4 linked regions of the Saccharomyces cerevisiae S288C genome follow. Changing the gene in region 2 together with the main gene of any one other region gives a genetic interaction. Each region holds a gene or a part of one and is shown on either strand. Other genes may lie near its edges.

Evidence for each region.
Region 1: mutations in FRM2 (region 2) and ECM4 together harm fitness more than expected from each alone (negative genetic interaction), as found in Saccharomyces cerevisiae (one large-scale study listed by BioGRID).
Region 3: mutations in FRM2 (region 2) and FIT2 together harm fitness more than expected from each alone (negative genetic interaction), as found in Saccharomyces cerevisiae (one large-scale study listed by BioGRID).
Region 4: mutations in FRM2 (region 2) and YLR162W together harm fitness more than expected from each alone (negative genetic interaction), as found in Saccharomyces cerevisiae (one large-scale study listed by BioGRID).

Annotation. Positions count from the first base shown.
Region 1 is NC_001143.9:580,461-583,895, reverse strand, and holds ECM4 (S-glutathionyl-(chloro)hydroquinone reductase), read right to left. Parts: upstream 1,614-3,435; coding exon 501-1,613; downstream 1-500. Other genes in the region: MSA2 (Msa2p), read right to left, coding at 1-243; YKR075C (uncharacterized protein), read left to right, coding at 3,146-3,435. UniProt on the Saccharomyces cerevisiae protein: Active as '1-Cys' thiol transferase against beta-hydroxyethyl disulfide (HED), as dehydroascorbate reductase and as dimethylarsinic acid reductase, while not active against the standard GST substrate 1-chloro-2,4-dinitrobenzene (CDNB).
Region 2 is NC_001135.5:74,125-76,846, forward strand, and holds FRM2 (type II nitroreductase), read right to left. Parts: upstream 1,162-2,722; coding exon 580-1,161; downstream 1-579. Other genes in the region: amino acid transporter AGP1, read right to left, coding at 1,894-2,722. UniProt on the Saccharomyces cerevisiae protein: Type II nitroreductase, able to reduce 4-nitroquinoline N-oxide (4-NQO) into 4-aminoquinoline-N-oxide (4-AQO) via 4-hydroxyaminoquinoline (4-HAQO), using NADH as reductant. involved in the oxidative stress response.
Region 3 is NC_001147.6:1,057,779-1,060,515, reverse strand, and holds FIT2 (Fit2p), read right to left. Parts: upstream 986-2,737; coding exon 524-985; downstream 1-523. Other genes in the region: FIT3 (Fit3p), read left to right, coding at 1-75; YOR381W-A (uncharacterized protein), read right to left, coding at 1,926-2,093. UniProt on the Saccharomyces cerevisiae protein: Involved in the uptake of non-siderophore and siderophore sources of iron. Has a role in the retention of iron in the cell wall and periplasmic space.
Region 4 is NC_001144.5:487,615-490,438, reverse strand, and holds YLR162W (uncharacterized protein), read right to left. Parts: upstream 867-2,824; coding exon 510-866; downstream 1-509. Other genes in the region: RRT15 (Rrt15p), read right to left, coding at 1-33; YLR161W (uncharacterized protein), read right to left, coding at 1,098-1,442. UniProt on the Saccharomyces cerevisiae protein: Overexpression confers resistance to the antimicrobial peptide MiAMP1.

The sequences.
Region 1 (3,435 bases), on a different chromosome or scaffold from region 2:
GTTTATAGGCCCCAGTATTGTAGCCTTACCATTTTGCCCAATAGACAGTGAAAATTTACCGAAACTGGAAGACCGGCCGTGAACCTTCATTGAAGACGATGACACAACAATTGAAGGTGATTGGTAATCCAATGAGGAGGGCGTTTGCATTGAAGGGGCTCTGATTGGCGAGAAGATAAGAGTGTGGCTAGATTGCGGTGTGGAGCTGAATCTCTGCTGTTGTTGCGGTGTTGTGTATACCATTGATTGGTTTAAAAACTGCTTCCTTGCTAAAATCTTTTGTAAAACGAAACCGATAAAGAAGAATAACAAACTACAAAGTAGAAGAATGAATACAGCTGTGCATGAATGTCATATTATGAAAATATTTCATTGCGTTAAATATAATTTCCAGGCCTTTTTTTGCACTTTAACGCGTTTCGCGTCAATTACCCAATTGAGTATAGAAAAAGAGGCAACTCAGGGAGATTATAGACATTTGATTATTTAATTACAGCTTGTTATAAAGGACGAATATCTGGCTTGGGTCCCAGGGGCGTAATTCCCAAGGGGTTGATCCTTGTGTGGGAACGCGTGTAGTGTAACTTGATATGGTCAAAATCTGTTGTGTACCTGAAGGCATCATAATTCCAGTATAAATTTCTTACCCACAAATGAATAAATGGATATCCGGCTCTAATAGAGGTAAAATTGCATTTGAAATGTTGGACGTACACAGGATCGAATCTTATGACGGTAGTATACAATCTAATGTCAGCTTCTGTTAATTGATCACCCACAGTGAAGAACTCACCCAAGATTTTTTGTCTATCTTCTTCACCGTATTTGGCCTTCAATTTGGAATATTTGTCACTCAGGATTTTCTCCACTTTGTCCAAATGTTCAAATACGTTGTTGACTTCACTTTCGTAAACTTCTGCTTTCTCTGCGAATCCGGTCTTGTATACACCATTGTTGATGCTGTCGTAAACCCAAGAATTGAAGTCATCGATCTGTGTTTTCAACTGAGCAGGAACAAGGTCCGTTTTCTTGTGATCGTCGTCGACAAATTCATCGAACGCACTAGAGTTCAAAATCCTTATAATTTCGCTACTTTCGTTGTTAACAATTGTTTGGGTTTCTAAGTCCCACAGGACTGGGACGGTGAACCTTGCCGAGTATTGAGGATCGCTCTTGTAATATAAGTCACTGATTCTCTTGTATCCATAGTGAGGCTCATTGGTAGCATCAACCATGAATCTTTGACTGTCATTCTTGATCTCGGCGAAGCTCTTGCTGGAATCCTCTTTAGCAGTTCTAATACCACCTGCAACATCGTGCCAATGTTCCAAAAAATCTTCACTGTCCTCCAATTGCTTTTCCATGTCCAAAAATCTCCATCCTTTCTCGTCAAGGTGCCAATGGACTACGCTACATCCTATAACAGAGGTTAATCCCTTCAAAGCCCTCGTAATTAGTGTTCTATGGGCCCATGGGCATGCAAGTGAAACATACAACCAATATCTTCCCTTTGCTGGCTTATAAATTGGGTGTTGCTTAGAGATTGTTTCTCTGAAGGACGAAACCTGTCTTTTGAAAGCTCCGTTTGTACCACTCGCCCACTGTTTCGACATTTCTTATTTATCTTGCGCAGGGTTTGGGTAAATTCTCGTAAGCACTGTAGTGATGGTAAGAGCAGCGTTACCTAATTAACTACCTTTATACAAGAAATGGAAAAGGGTTGAGAGGGGTTGGACGCTAAGACAAATAAATAGGGGTGTGAAATTTCAAGAGCTGACTAATATCTTAGTAACGGAGAACAACAGAGAACAGATGATAAAACTATATTGATACGTTCAAAAGGTCTTAGGACCGTCTGAAGAGGTGAAATAAAGATGGAAAAGTTTGCGTCACCAAGCCTTTTGCGTCGGTTTCCTCTGTAACACTTTTTAATTCAAAGTGTTAAAATCTCAACTGTATACCCTCTAATTTGCATAATAATGAAACTAAATGTAAAAAAAAAAAGGAAAGAAAATCACTCCATAATCAGGGTAATGAATCATTTTACAGTGTCATTTGCATGTTCATACACATACCCTTCTTGACAGAATGCAGGAAAAGCCTCAACTATTTATCGGACACATTCGCAAATGTCCATTGACGAGTAAAACGTTTCCGCGTCACTACATTCGTCACTACACAACTTTAAAATACCTTATTTTTTTAATTATGCGGAGTAAGTATCTTTGCAGAACTAGATGGTTGGATTGAGCAGTAGGCATCAGTGACTCGAATTGGTGCTCATTTTTATTTTAACGTACGATTTGTTCAGGCCTTGCTATGACAAGCTTCCTGACGAAATCATACTGCAAGATACATAGTCCCAGTCCATAAACTAGTAGAATGACAAAAAGAAACTCAGAACATACATAACACGATAGACAACGTATTCACGGTTTTGAACCCCACGTAGTATCCTTCTAAATGGCATTGCCTTTACCACATGAAAAACTAAGAGAAGAAAGCTCTCTGCACTAATCATTATAAACGACAGCGGACCCGGAAGCGAGTACCCGAATAGGCCGGGGAAGGAAAAGATAGAAAGGAATCTTTTTTTCTTCCCCCCGCTCTTTTTTTTTATGCTTTTTGGGGTTTTTCCGGCAACTTTCAACAGAAATGCCGTAGCCGGAAAAACCGAAAGCGGGGGACAGTGAAGCGTGAGAGGGGCGAGACAGGGGGAACTTGAATGGGGTATTTTGCTTTTGCTGCATTTTTTCCGCTGGTACCTCTATCTTTAGGCGACCGGAAAAATTCATTTTCTCATCTTTTTTTTTTTTTCGTTTCCGACTCGATACTCTTTACAAAGAAACCCCCGCGGGGAAATGTTAGATTTGAGCTTTTTCCGCCAGGAAAAGAAAAAACCTGGGGACATTAATCTTGTTTTTTCTTTCTTCTTTTGTCTTCCCTTGGATGACTGCAGAAAAAGTACAGTTACCGGGTCTTAGCAAAAACAAACATATATATATATATATATGAAAGCGTATGGTCAACACGGTTTTATAGGTTTTACTTTTTGCATTCAGTTCAACTTTGGCCCTTTCTCTTATCGCATTCAGATACTACACACAAGTGTTCATACACACACAAATAGATACATATACAGAAAATGACTAGTTTGGACGATACAATAATTTCGTACCAGAATATAATGTTACTGGATAACATGACCAACTACAACAAGCCTGCGATTGACTATTTCCATCATGAATTTAATGATGCAAGCTTGGAAATATCGGCTTCATGGACACTACTATTGAAGATGCGCAAACATAAACTACTTCGATTACCAAGTTGCTCTTCAGAGGACGTGCTAGATTACAACATGTACCTCGTTAGGCTACATCATTGCCTCTGGAGGCGTTGGTCCATAAATCACTATGGTTTACAGAACTCCAA
Region 2 (2,722 bases):
TAGCCCGAAAAGCTCGAGGCACCCCAGGATCTTTTTCTTTACGTAATTTTCACGTAAAACGCCACAGTCCGATTTTTCTCGAATAATCATTAGTAAAAGCGGTATACTGGATTATTGTACGATAACAAGGTAGAGCTTTATTACTAAGCTAAGACGTTCTTACATCAATAGTGCTGTTCGTTATTGATGTTAGGAGAAGGAGCGGGTCTGGTGAATAGTGTAAGCAGTGTTTCTGAACTTTTTCTTCGTCTAAGTCCTTGTAATGTAAGGTAAGAATGCAAGCATCTTGTTTGTAACGCGATTGTACGTTGACGTTAGTAAGTCACAAACCCAAGCTTAACTTCTTCGTGAGGAAGGAAAGTGTTGTCTCCTACTTTTTTCAAATTTTCGAATTGTATTTATATTTATTTAGTACTTCTTGAGTTTACATATCCTTCGTAAAAATGCAACTTTTGTCGAAAAACACTTCCAAAAAAAAATAATAATGAATTTATGAAGCATACTAACGAGCGAGCACATCGCTGAGGTATCATTACTTCATGAGATAAATTAAGATCTCCTCATATGCGAATTTCCTGTTCAGTGATAAACGTTGATTACGTTATTGATAAAAGTCTTTTCTTCTGGCAAGGCAGTTGGAACACCAAAGACCAATTGAGATTGTACAGTCCACGCAATAGGAACATCTTGAGGCAAAGCAGATTTGACGTAGTCATTATAGTGTTGCAAATTAGCCCCCAATCCCAATAGTTCGAGGGCAGTCCAAGACTGAATTTGCACAGCACCGGTCGTATGAGCGGCGCATGTTGGGAAAGCGGCTGCCAAGGCTGGAAAATCTCTTTGCAGTTTTTCAGTTGGTCCTTCATCAGTGAAGAAAATGACTGAACCGTAAGCCTCATCTCTGCAAGACTCTGGTCTCTTCTTGGCTTCAGCAGTTGGCATTGCGCTCGCAACAGCATCCCATATCCTTTTGTGTGTATCACCAACGATAATGACAGCGCGATTCACTTGTGAGTTAAAAGCTGTTGGCGTATTCTTGAGAATAACGTGTACAGTTCTCTTTACATCATCCAAACCGACACCTTGTGGTAATTCGGGCTTCAAATTGTAGATGGTACGACGGTTTGTAATAGCGTTTAAGTAGTTTCCAGTTGGGGACATTTCTTTGGCTTGGAGGTCTGGTGTTCTTGATTTTGATGGTGTATATAGCTTTAAAAAACCAAAAATGATCAACCTTTATATCTCTCTTCGATCACAACATGGGTGGAGACAAACACAAAGTAGTGATGACCCACTCAGGTGTTAAAGTGTGTCATATCTGCAAATGACACTGTATTTTTTTTTCCTTTGCCATTTATTGTCGCAGTAAGGAAAAGCGCAGAGCAAAGCTGACAAATTGAAAAATTATTCGGAAGAGCATTGACAAATATTGATTAATAATCAAGTAACACTCGCAGACATTGTTATTTCAGAAGTAAAAATATCGCAGAACAAGTTGGTTAAACTGAATGCTTCAGTCATTCTAATGCTAATTACACCTTAACAAAATTAAAAATTCTTAACGTAGATTTTTAAAAAAGGCAAGAAGATCGTTCCTGATGCACGACGAAAACGGTTGCACCCCTACTAAGGCAAAATTGCATATGCGGATGAAATCAAACCTCTTCTGTTGCATTAAGAACAAAAGGAAATCATTTTTCTCTCACTTCATATTATTTCACTTATATTTTCCTCTCCACTTCCATCACGCAATCGTTAGTGCTTTTTATTTTTTTTCTTCGCTCATAAAGGACTAGAATTAAAATGAAAATCGTCTATCATTACACGTATGCTATTACTACAAAACAGAAGTACAAAAATGAATAAATATAAAAGAAGTAAATGCTTTTTTTTTTAACACCAGAAGGCAACGACCCTTTTCCAATAAGGTCCGTTCCTCAAACGTTCCCTATATTCTTCGTCTTCTTGCTTGATTAATTCTTCATCAAAGATTTGTCTATGAGAATCTAGGTCGATCTTGTCTGCCCTGATGAACAGTTTCCAATCCTTGTGCCAGACCTTGTAGCCGACATAAAGTGCAATCAAGATTGGCATAGCCAAGTAGTTTTCGAAAAAGGCTTGTGCATCCAGCTTACCTTCACCAATGGGGGCGATAGCGACCCAAAATTGGGCAATAAGAATTAAAATCATCATAATGCAAGCGTAGGCAGATCCCCAAACACCAGTTTGAGATTTGAAACCCAATTCTCCAAGAGATCTCCCTTGGACTTTCATGGCTCTTCTAAATCTAAGATGGGATAAACAAATGGCAGTCCATGTGAAAAGCTGAGACAAACCAGAAATGGCCAATAACCAAGTGAAAACTTGTTCTTCCTTGGGAGATGCAGCACAGAAGGCAATAACGGCAAACAATGCAGAAACACCCATGGCAATCAATGGTCTACCGGCTCTGTCGATGTAGGAGAAAACCTTAGGAGCGTAACCTTGCTCGGATAGAGTTAAAAATAAACGAGCACTGGAGTAGAAGGAGGAGTTAGCCATGGACAGCACGGAAAGTAGAATAACGGCGTTAATGAAGTGTGGGACGACACGGACACCGTGGGATGCAACAGCAATGACATATGGCGAGGCTTTAGTACCACCACCGGTAGAACCCAATAATTGATCGGAATTGTATGGCACCAAGAAACCCAGTAGAATAATGGTAGCCAAGAATAGGAAT
Region 3 (2,737 bases), on a different chromosome or scaffold from region 2:
ACCGGTGCTGCTGATGCCATCACCGCTGGTACTGGTTTGATGGGTGCTGCCCTTGCTGCCGTCATGTTATTGTAAATGATATGTGAATAATCATGCGGGATATCCGATTTTTATGAAGCACCTTGCGGCTTGGCCTTTTTTCGAAGTTATGTTAGAATAAAAAAATTTTAATAACACACATTAAGTATGTATGTATATATACTGTTTCAAGTTCGTTGGTCTTCCTTTAATTGTTTGAAACGGTTAAAAGTATCTAATTAAAATAAATATACCCGAAATCATACTAAAAAAATAGTTAATATTAATAAAAGTAATGATAATAATAATAATAACAATAATAATAATACGATGATGATGATGAAACGAAAAACTGCTACATTGAAGTCACTGAGAAACGTAATGAAAAAAAGTCCTTTTTACTAGCCTTTTGAAGGAGAAAGACAATTATATTAGCTTTTCATAGATAAGTTATAAATATGCTATACACGATAACTAATAGCTTTTTTCTGGTTTGAAACCGAGCTTATAATAGGTAAGAAATCAAACCAAGGGCCAATGCACCGACACTTGCTCCTTGGAATGCAGCAGGAGCAGCACCAGAAGAAGAGGCAGAAGAGGAGGAGGAGGATGAGGAGGATGAGGAGGATGTAGATGATTCGACGGCTTGAGTGACGGTCTTGGTGTAAAGGTTGGTTGATGAACCTGAACCGTTTGTCAAAGTAAGTGTCTTTGTTGTACTCTTTTCAGAGGTGGTATCTGGTCCTTCGGTGACAACCTTTGTGTAAGTAGCATCACTATTACTGACAACGACAGTTCTAGTGGTACTGTAACTAATGATAGGGTCAGCGGTGTCGGTAACGACCTTAGTGTAAACGTTATTACCGTTAGTAGCAGTAATAGTCTTAGTGGTCATTACACTCGACACAGCTGCTGCCGAGACGGCAGTCATAACTGTAGTAGCTCCGAAAATAGTTGAGAATTTCATTATTATTGTTTTGTGATGGCTTTATGATAGACTTTTTTACAAGGACCGTAAAATTCTGCCTGAAGCACGCACACATTCCTGTTTTATACATATATTGCTAGGTAATATAAAATGCTAATTATACTGCACCCAGTTAGATTCGTATACATCTTATCCGAACTCGATTACAAATTATACAAGTGATCCAATTGGGTGAACCTCGAAACAGTTCTCTGTTCAAGGGTCCGCTGCGGGGCGAGGGGGGGTGCATTTGAACTTAGGGTGCATTGTTTTAAATCCTATACAGGATATGAACTTAGTTAGTTCAATGATCGCTTGATAAATTGCACCCTGCTCTTGAGGGTCATTCTAAGTAATGAAATTTTGGGTGTTTTTGTTTGCCGTCCTCGTTCAATTCGCTTCCGCCGTTCTGGAAGCCCCGTTAACTTCCGTTCCCGCATTCCGATCGCTGTAGGGCTTGGCGTCAGTAGCACCCAGATATTTCACTGTAGGAGCTTACTTCACTCATTTCAATTGGTATACAGAAATCTATGAAATGTAGTTAAAGGCATCACTAATCCGCATCCGCGATACCCGCAACATATACGGAATGTCTATGTAAAAATGTCTCCTGTGACTTTCATTAATCGAATCTTTCTATAAAAAAAAAAATGAGCAAATCACAGTACACCCACTACTCGCATCATCAACGTTGAGTCAGTAGCAAAGTCTCCAGTTATGGTGCCCTCTGGTCCAATTGTAGTAAATTCGTTTGCACGGATGAAAAATAGCTCATGAATGTTCTTGTGTATTTGAATACCATTATGTGCGCGGCTCATACGGATTTAAGTGTGATCTTCCCCTCCGTATTCCCTGTCAATAACTCAAAGTTTTCCCATTTCGGTTTGAAGTTCTTCACAAGGGAGTTTCTTGGCGCAAAGGCATGATGATCGCATTTGCCTCAGTATATTTCGTCATTTCGGTACTGAGAAACGAAATTATTTTGCCTGTTGTCTTGCGTTTTGGCAACCCTTAAGAATTCATCTAATATGTTGGTCCTTAAAGATAAGCGCTTTTGCTTGTAAAATTCTGATTTTTTGTCTTGTGATGGTAATGCTACATTGAACATCAATGCGTATCTGATTTTAAAAAAAAAATTAGAAGTGTGTATAAAATGAAGGTATTATCAGTTGAGCAAATATTACATGTGCTCTTCAAAAGTACCTGCTTTTCATTTAGTGACTATCAGGATGATAACGCCGCTCGTCTTATTTTTAACTGTCGTTTTCTGATAAATGTGTTGAAAACGTGCTAAACAACAATTACCTGTTCTCAAGAGCCTTGAGCCTGGATTGAGAGCAAAAAATCTCTCTTTCATTTTATACAGAATTCGGAAAGAAGATGGATATTTCATGAAAATCTGTTGGTAAAAAGTGGATAAAAATTTTGTATTATTAGTATGTTCTTAGTGGTTAGGTGATAACGAAGCGAGAAAAGCAGGGCAAATGGAATAGAATAGCGTGTAGTTGTTAAAATTTTATTTCACTGAGGCTTATATGCTTACTGAGAAATTTTTTTTTTTTACAAAAAACTTCTTTTTATGTTATACCAGCTGTGGATTACCACAACAATTGGAAAGAACATCAATCCAGAAAAAAAATTCAGTTAATTTGGAGGAAGAGAAATTTAAGTCATGGAACAAGAGTGGGAGACAGTTAAAAAATGCTTCCAAAGATTAGTAGATTGAAAAAGTTTGTGAAAGTCGATCAATTG
Region 4 (2,824 bases), on a different chromosome or scaffold from region 2:
TTGATTTTGATTTTCAGTGTGAATACAAACCATGAAAGTGTGGCCTATCGATCCTTTAGTCCCTCGGAATTTGAGGCTAGAGGTGCCAGAAAAGTTACCACAGGGATAACTGGCTTGTGGCAGTCAAGCGTTCATAGCGACATTGCTTTTTGATTCTTCGATGTCGGCTCTTCCTATCATACCGAAGCAGAATTCGGTAAGCGTTGGATTGTTCACCCACTAATAGGGAACGTGAGCTGGGTTTAGACCGTCGTGAGACAGGTTAGTTTTACCCTACTGATGAATGTTACCGCAATAGTAATTGAACTTAGTACGAGAGGAACAGTTCATTCGGATAATTGGTTTTTGCGGCTGTCTGATCAGGCATTGCCGCGAAGCTACCATCCGCTGGATTATGGCTGAACGCCTCTAAGTCAGAATCCATGCTAGAACGCGGTGATTTCTTTGCTCCACACAATATAGATGGATACGAATAAGGCGTCCTTGTGGCGTCGCTGAACCATAGCAGGCTAGCAACGGTGCTCTTGGCGGAAAGGCCTTGGGTGCTTGCCGGCGGATAGCAATGTCATTTTGAGTGGGGATAAATCATTTGTATACGACTTGGATGTACAACGGGGTATTGTAAGCAGTAGAGTAGCCTTGTTGTTACGATCTGCTGAGATTAAGCCTTTGTTGTCTGATTTGTTGGCACGAGCCGGCGGGAGCGGGCTCATACTAACGAAGACGAACCAAAAGATACACAGTAGCGGGACGAGAGTCTCGCAGCTGTCTGGCGGGCGGCGAAGTGCGGGTAACGCAGTAGCGGCGCTGTGGGCGCTGCTCGAGCGTTCTGGCAGAGAGGCGGTCCGGGTAAGCGTGTGCTGCATCGTGGCTCTCAGGTCTGTTTCGCTGGTCTGTGAGCGCTGCGTGTGCGTGTGCGTGTGCTAAGACGGGGTCCGGGTAACGTGCTTGCGCGCGGAAAAAAAAAAAAGATTGCAGCACCTGAGTTTCGCGTATGGTCACCCACTACACTACTCGGTCAGGCTCTTACCAGCTTAACTACAGTTGATCGGACGGGAAACGGTGCTTTCTGGTAGATATGGCCGCAACCGAAATAGTTAGGTGTGGCAGCCGTACATATGGAAGCCGGGCGATGGCTCCGCCACGTGCAAAGTGCAGGAGCTTTGGAAAGAGCGTGCATATAGTGATGAAAACAGAGAGCACGGTTGCGAACGGAGGGTCTCACAATGTCTCAAAGGATAAATCTCTTGGTTTGCGGGCCGCATACAAGATATGATTGTAGTTTTTTCAATGGCTCTACTGTCCCACTGCTGTACAACAGAAAATGAGAGATCAGAGAAATAGTATTCCGGAAGCCAGTGGTGTTTACTTATTAGTTTTTTGACGCCACTGCGCGAGTTGCTGCCTAGCTGTTCCTTGGCCAACGCATATTGGAACTTCATTCGACTGATATGCTTACTCAGAGGTCCATTACTTCAAGAATTGTCTCACCTATCGGGCTTGGCGTTTGTACAAGAAGAAACTTTCATCACCTTTGTTTCGCCACCAAATGAAAAAAAAAACTTGCATGGCTTAGGTGGTTCTTTGTCAGAAATATCTTCTAAGGATCAAGAGTCTTACGTGATTCTAATCCCTTGGCAAGTCAGATCTCAAATATGCTCACTCGCAGATGAGTAGCAATGAATGCGACCAAGTGACTAGTGACTGGTGACGACATGAGCCAAGCTGGAACCAGCAGCTTTCACGTCGGCTTATAGCTCTCTATGGGGCAATCAACCACTCATAGTGACTGAAGATCTTTTTAATATAATTACATTGCTAAAAACGTCATACCGCCTTGTGAGCACGATAAACAGCATATGCATTGAGCCTTGTTATTCTTCGGAACTGGGGATAGTAAAATGCGACCCGCTTAGGATGATCAAGCTATCTTTGGGACGGAGTTTTGTCATGGGAGTGGTCATCCTACTGGTGATGCTTCAACATTTGATTTACTAAATTTTGAAATCGGCCGCAGAATAAAACTATTATGTCCAAACAATTGATGGTCGAACCAACGTTAAGGGTTTCAAGTATTGAATTGAACTTTTATGAGTTCTATAATTTCGTTGCGCAAATTCAACTAAACCACCAATATCCCCCCTACAACGCTACACTTTATACCGATAGAGGAATAACGCATAGAGCCTTCGTAGAATTCTTCAACTCGTACGTGATGGGGATTCTAAACCTATCGTCATGTCGCTGTACAAGGCTGCTGCCTGCTTTCAAATTCCCAATTTTACCATGTCCGTTTCGCTGAGCCGAATCGTCACACAAGGTAATTAGTTCTGGGTATCGCTTCAGTATAGCACTGGTTTTTTCCTTGTAAAACCACAGTCTAACAATTAAATGAAGCTTTTCGAAGAAATTAGACCATGTTAGACTGAAAGCAAAGACTCCGGCCCGTTCTGAGGTAAGTTCAATGAAATTGGACAGTTTCTTTTCAAGGTTAGGTTTTGTGTTCGAAAAAAATAGATTACCGCACCTCCTTTCCAAACCCCATGAGTTTCCATTAAGGAAGAGCAACGTCAATAATACCACCTTTTGCAGATGTGATTCAACTCAAGATGCTGTAATCTTTCCCTTCTGACCCTAGATCACCTCATGATATCCTTTTGAGGCAATTAAAGCTGCAGTGTAAACTGTTGAATATCTTTTTGAAACCAAAAAAAAGGACGTTCCACACTTGGCTGCTTTCTTGATAAGCGAGATCTTTACTTGGAGATCTCGCTTAGTCCTCCGAAGGGTAAACCCCGTCTCTTATCTTTAAAAAAATGTATCA